Nothobranchius furzeri: one gene and its partner. The protein of the gene in region 2 purifies or fractionates together with the protein of the main gene of each other region. This does not show direct contact. Links are inferred from orthologs where the notes say so. Each region holds a gene or a part of one and is shown on either strand. Other genes may lie near its edges.

Evidence for each region. The genes of interacting proteins can lie anywhere in the genome.
Region 1: the proteins of utrn (region 2) and sntb1 purify together in Homo sapiens (affinity purification with mass spectrometry; 3 studies listed by BioGRID and IntAct, with this or other methods). This does not show direct contact. The link is inferred for Nothobranchius furzeri from reciprocal best matches to the Homo sapiens genes UTRN and SNTB1.

Annotation. Positions count from the first base shown.
Region 1 is NC_091745.1:41,759,590-41,763,110, reverse strand, and holds part of sntb1 (beta-1-syntrophin), read left to right. Parts: intron 1-384; coding exon 385-628; intron 629-3,521. UniProt on the Homo sapiens protein: Adapter protein that binds to and probably organizes the subcellular localization of a variety of membrane proteins. May link various receptors to the actin cytoskeleton and the dystrophin glycoprotein complex.
Region 2 is NC_091742.1:4,149,562-4,153,082, reverse strand, and holds part of utrn (utrophin), read left to right. Parts: intron 1-1,528; coding exon 1,529-1,679; intron 1,680-2,399; coding exon 2,400-2,575; intron 2,576-2,728; coding exon 2,729-2,864; intron 2,865-2,972; coding exon 2,973-3,122; intron 3,123-3,291; coding exon 3,292-3,444; intron 3,445-3,521.

The DNA.
Region 1 (3,521 bases), on a different chromosome or scaffold from region 2:
ACTTTTACGTTCATCAGGCAAAATACAAACGAGTTCAGTTCACGTTCACAAAAAAAAAAGAACAAATTCATGAACGATCGTTCAATGAACGCATTCAGGCAGAACACTGCTGGTGGTGATGAGCTACGATGTAGCCACAGCTGCCCTGGGGGGTGCTGACAGAGGCGGGTCTGCCGTACATTGGTGCCACCGGTCCCTCCGACCACCACCAGCAGGCAAGGCGGATTAAGTGTTTTGCCCAAGGTCACAACAGCAGCCTTCTCTCATCAGCATTAGAAAAGACCAATAGCAGTGGAACTCTATTCAGAATATTATTTACATGTTGAATTCTCATTGTTTTTACTGCTGGTGAAACAAAAAATCTGTTTCTCTCTTTGTCTCCAGTGAAATACATGCGTGAGGCTACACCTTACGTCAGAAAGGGCTCTCCCGTGTCAGAGATCAGCTGGGAGACTCCTCCTCCTGAGTCTCCCCGTCCCAGCAGCCCTACCATCACCTCCCCCTTCTCATCCGACTCTCCCAGCTCTCCTACCCTTCCCTCCCTGTCACTGAACAGTGACAGGAGGTACATACCGTTGAAGATGTGTTATGCAACACGAGCCATGACCAAACCTGATCCGGAGAACAGGTAGGTGGAAACTCACAATGTTAAACACACGAGCCACACTCCTGGATGTGACATCCCTCAGGATTTTCATCCTCCTGTTAATAAAGATGATGTTGAATCAGTTTAGCCTTTAAAACGATGAAACGGGCTGGTGAGATTCAGAGGAAGCACAGGAAACTTGTGTTTTAAATCTAGAAATGTGAAATGTGTAGGTCAAATCATGCTGGATGTCCTGATTAACCCAACATGAATAAGATTAATACTTTAGATGTGTGTTTGGGTTCTGAACATAGGTCAGGTCAATGGGCCAATCTAACACTAACCCATCGCCGTTCAGTTTTCATAAAAGCACTTTTCTTTACTCGTCAGTCTTGTGACTATGAATCCTGTTATTCTAATGAAGTATGCCAATCAAGGATACAACCATAACTGTAGACACATTAAATTATTTAGTCAAACCACTCAGAAATAAAAACAATGACTAACTCACCTTGCATCATTGACAGAATAGAGCCAATTCAAACAAAGCCTTTCTTTTTACAAGAGTCCAATGAAAATAGTTAGTCCACAACATGTCCTACATCAACAAACATTCAAAATGAACTTCAAATGCCTCTCTTTTACCCATAATCTCAATTAGCATCGTCATATTTGCATCAGATTTTGGGGCTACATCAGTGGTTCCCAATCTGGGATCTGTGGACCCCCAAGGAGATCCCCACAACATTCCAAAAGCTCCCAACATTTAGTCTGTACTAAGGTTGTGAGGTTACCAATATGATATTTGTAAAAAAAATAATAATAATATAGCATTAATATAATATCAGCAGCATTTCTAATTAGGGATGCAACAACACTGGTATCGGTATTGGGCCGATACCAGTGTCGGTATCTGTAAAAGTTAACCGACACCGATGCAGTTGCCTGAAAGTGGCTTTGCTGAAACTTGTCATTTCTGTCACAACTTCTATTAATATATTTTATTTTTTATCTACCTCACAGTCTTTTCCTGTTGAAAGCAGAGAAGAAAATAAAACCTGTATTCCAATTCATTGCATTTTTTTTTGTGTTAAAAGTATCAGTATAGGTTTTGGTGAGTACTCAGATCCAAGTATCGGTATCGTATCGGTTTAGGGAGAAAAAAAAGTGGTATTGATGCATCCCTACTTCTAATAGTATAATCACAAGTCAGAGTCAAAACTCTGCATATCAGCATAAAGCGTGCAACTAAGCATTTTTAATGTGTGTATGTAGGTAGGCGTTGGGGGTCCTGGCTTGTCTTGGACACAGGTAAGGGGGTTCTTGTGGGAAAAGGTTGGAAACAACTGATCTACATAATTCACATATACAGTACCTGATCTAACAGTGGAAGTGTCACACCCTCTGCTGAGGCAAAAGCCTCAACCATTGGCCGATAGGCAGCAAATACTGCCCCCCATTCTCGCGTGGAGCTCAAACCAATCATCGCCCAGTACATGGTTGATTGATGCATCAAATAGTCAATAAAATTTCTAAAACAACGATGTCAAGCATGAGTGAAATTATCAGAAAACATCTTGATGAATGCTCGGAAGGATTTTAGATACAAACCAACTTTAGTCTTGACCCAAACCACAAGACGATGGACGCTCTGCAGCCCTTTAGTGACTGATTCTCTACAGCTCAAACCCAGAAAGGACTCTGAACTCCACTCGTGGCTTTTACATAATCTCCTGCTTTCAGTCAGAATTATTCATTCATTTCTTTTGACTAAAATCACCTAACAGCGTTTTCTTTTTCAACCTTTGAAATTGTATAACCAACAACGTTTCAAAATTGTTGGGGATTCAGTTTGTTGAAGGCAATCCAACAGATTCCTACTGTTCCACGGAACAGAGATCTGCTGAAAACTGTTGCAATAAAACTGTAATGTCCCATGATGCATTTTAATGTTAGGGGATGTTTTAGCTCTGAAGTGAATCTTTTTACTTTCCTTCATACCAAAAAGGTGAAAATGCAATAAACCCCTTGTGTGGGTTTAAGTCAGAGTGGGATGATTTTATCATGGGAATCTAATCAGAACGGATAGTCTTTGCTCTTGTTTGTCACTCCTCCTCTGCTCTTTAATATCTGCCCCCAGGTCTACAATTTCCATCTGTCTTAAAGTGTATTCGCTCAGTCTTTCTAAACCCATTTTTCCTTTTGGAAAGGCATTAGAAGTAGCGCTCAGACAGTTCTCAGTGGGGGTGGAGTGTTAGGAGGTGTCATTAAGCTAATGGTTTGGTAATTTGACTGGCTCGGTCAAACAGCGTGGGGTTACACATGAGTGATTTACTACCACTTCTTCCTCTTTCACTCGGTCCGTGTTCTCCAGTTCAGTTTGTTTCTTTTCTGTGTGTGAGACTTTCTCCTAGTTAGTTTCATTTTCAATCTTTAGTTTTTATTTAGCTACTGTTCCCTCCCATCATCGGCTCTCCTGGGGAAAATGAGATATTCTGTCCTTTGGCCACTTTCCATTTCTTTTCTTTTTCCTACCACAACTGGTTTATTTGAGACTCCTACTATTTTCACATCAGTGCTGAATCTCTGAAATGAAAAAGGGAGACAAGAGGACAGGGCTGTAACAAAGACAGGACACAGGTGGGAAAAACCAGCATAATTATGGAAGTGAACCAGTCTGGGAAGTAAAACGAGACAAAAAACCTAATAGGAATCATCTCACTCTGTCATTACTCTGTTTTCACTTGATCACATCCTGTTACAGGAGAAAATCTCCCACTGCGAAGGGCGAAGTGAGCCGCCATCACGCGGAAAGTCGCTGTTGTTCATCGATGTGGGAAAGAAAACAAAATGCACAGCTGCTTTCAGCAAAATTTAAAATTCAAGATTAGAGTTTGGGACCTCATAATTATCGGAAACAGCCTTGTTTTTCATA
Region 2 (3,521 bases):
AATGAGGGTGTGTGTTTGGCTGGGGCTGCAGGGCGAGGGGGTGCCGGCTGTCCACTTCTCAGGAGACGGCAGATTTGTTGAAACTGACCTTGATTAATGTCGGAGGAATTCCTCAAGCATAAACAATCTCACGCCTGCCCACATTCATTCCCAGATGTAAATGCGCAGACAGTGGGTGACATTGACCAGTATCAGCACAAAGTCGGGCTTCATGCGTCCTTGTTTCCTTGAGAGCAAACCGGTGACCGAGGAAATCTGTAGATGGCATCCAAACGATGACGAGCACCGTCTGCATCCCTGTTTTTTATTCAAAAATGCATTTCCTCAACTGGAACCTGCAGGATGACGATGTAGAATAAAAAAATCTGAATTTTTGTATAATTTTTGAAATAATGAACCTTCTTGTCAATATTTCTTTATTCAGCAGCAACTCTGACCTTTATTGTGTCCTTGGGGCATTTTGATTGTTGCGGATTAAGTTCCTCTGACTGTTTATATGGTTCACTAATTAGCTTTTTTTTATTATTATCAATTGAAGTCATAAACTCAAACAAATGACAGAGTAGTTAATCCATATCAACCAGTAAATGTGTTAAAGTTAAGTTTTAAAAATGTAGTTTTTATGTAATTAAAGGTGCTGAGCACTCTTAATCAGTGGTCTCCAGTAGGATGCACCAGAATCAGTAAGTATAATTCAGCAGGAGGAGAAAATGGCTTCAGGCGGCAGGTTGTGGGGTCTTCGCCTCCTATTGGATAACAGCAACACGACTGTACCACTGACTCAGTTTGCTCTGCAACGTGGCTGTTTTATCTCCTCAAATAACACAGTCCTGGAGGAGTTCTGCTGTGTGGTCAAGATGCTAATGCTAACTGTTAGCTTCTACTGGCTGGGATGTTTCCTGGATGCTAAAACAACAGTCTTCCCAGTCAAGATGGGTGAGTCCATGAATATTAAGGGACAGTGTGACGTAGATCTATCAGGCGTTTCACCATCTATTTACTATCTGAGGCTAATACAGGAGATAGGTGTAGGAGACTATTTTCATGTTCAGCCTGTATAAAAAACTCACAGTGACTCCTTAATTATAATCGGATAAAAAATATTTTTCAGGGATCCACACCTGCCAGAAAACAAGTAACAAATAATATTTATTATCTTAGTTTTTTTAACGAGATCCAATAAAGTTTGTGTGAATTAGCAGTTGTTTTAGGTTCAGTCAGTAAATCTTTATATTTGTAAAAGTTTTTAAAATTCTGGTATTTTATTCCCACTTTATTTGGTCAAATCAGCCTAAAGCTGGCTAAATGTGACAGATATTCAGATTAGTCCTCCTGGTTTATTTTTAGATTTCCATAAAAAATATTTGGATCATTTCTTATTTAGCGTCTGGGCTAATTTCTGATCTGATCAAAAATCAAACAAAACAAACGCTCTGTTTCATTTTGAGTGATAATAACACTTTTATTACCCAATAAACCTGCTTCTGAGCTCATCTCTGGCCTGTTCTTTCTCCTCGTCGGGCTGCAGGAGCTTTGACCGTGCCACAGAGGAGTGGGGGCGGTTCCACTGCGCCCTGAGGGACATTTCTCAGTGGCTCACAGAGACGGAGACACTTCTGTCTGAAAGCGTCGGCCCAGACGGTGACCTGGACCTGGACTCTGCTCGGCAGAGCCAAGAGGTTGGTGATGCTCAGTGATCTGTGTGATTAATGGATGCTCTTCAGGAAACAGAACAAGTTTTTGTTTTTCAACGATGTGCTGGCTCCTCAGCTCTAAAAGCAAGACATCAGCGTGTGTTTATGTAATTAGCATCCAGAGTGCAGAAATTTTAGATTTGAGACAAAAGCTGTGAGATAATTAGTTACGTCAGACAAAAGGTGATTGCTTTTATTCCCCAAATGGACACGATACGTTTTAGGCATTAAATTGGTTCGTTGTTCGAGCAGAAATGAGAAGTGAAGAAAAAGACACGGAGGGGCCTTTAACTTTCATTTCCCAGGGGGATTAAATCCTCCAACTCGGCGGCGTTATCGCTGACAACGCCACCGCCTTTAACACCGTTATCGTTTTGATTTGCAAAGCTGGAGCCACTCTCCTGCCTGATTTTTCAGGTGTTTTCTCAGCAGCTGAGAACGAAACGAGGGATCAAGTGGAAGGGAACTGAAAGATCTATTAGCTGACTCATCCTTCTGCCACCTGTACACTCACTCACCTTTACGGCTTTGTCTCGCCACGTTAAATCTCCAGCAGAGGAACGTAGAGATTTAGCAGCTTAAATATGGAATCGCAGCAAATCACGCCGTTTAGTGATTCAACGTTAATGCTTGAGTGTGTGATTAGTCTGTTTGACTGAACCCTAATTTCACCGTTTTCATTTGTGTCTTTTAATTGTGTCTCAGGAGCTGGAGGACGGCCTCGCCAGTCACCAGCCCATCCTCGCTGGACTGACTCGCTCTGGGGAGCAGATCGTTGGGAAGCTTTCATCTCCAGATGGGCCCCTGCTGGAGGAGAAGCTGGAGATTCTGGGTCGGCGTTGGAGAGCCGTTAACCGCCAAGTTCTGGACAGACAGCGCAGGTATCCGCACGGAGGAGTTCTGCCATCACCGGCTGTTTATCCGTCCAGTCGATTAGTCTGTAGCAGCAATTTAAATGGAAATTTTAGGAATAGTCCTGTAACCTCGAGGAAATGTAGGTCCTATTTTGTGTGTGTGTGTTTGTGTGTGTGTAGGTTAGCTGGAGACGATCCAGCTCTGTCTGACCTGGTGAAGAGGAGTGAGGAGCTAGCTGTGTGGCTGGAACAGGCAGAAAACGCTGTTTGCTTCCTGCCTGTTTCCACTACTGACAAAAACCTTAAAGATCTCAAGGTACAACCAAACTAAGAAGCACGGTTTCGTTTTATCCACCCACCATCCTCGTGGTGCTTGGACTCCTGGTTCTTGGTGAATTGAAGGATTTGTAACTTTTCCTTGCAGACTCTCGCTGAGGAAATGGACACTCAGAACGAACGCCTTGGTTGGCTGAACAAACACGCTCCCCACATCTTAGCTAGTCCCAGTTTGAGTCCTCAGGACAGAGACATGAATGTTGGGAAGCTGAGAGCCATCAACCTCAAGTGGAGCAAGGTGAAGCAAAGTTACACTTCCAACTTCTAAATGAGCTTTTTATTACTTCTAAGATGCTTAGACCTTCTGTCGCTACAAGCACCAGATTTTCTACTCTTGTTATATTTTCCTCCTTTTCCTGATGTCTTAAATACTTCCTCTCATTTTCCTTTGATCTTCCTCTTTGCAGGTGACTCACGAGCTACTGGACAAGGTGGGGGAGGTGGAGGCCAACCTGCAGAGTCACACGGTGTTCCAGGAGGGGATGAACAAGCTGACGGATTGGGTCGTCATCACGAACCAGACCATCGCGACCCGAGGCCTGAATCCTGGCCAAGCTCAGGTAAGACAACTTGAATTCATTATAAGAACTAAAGTGCTCGAAAATCCATACATAATTTACTCAGATGCATCAAATAA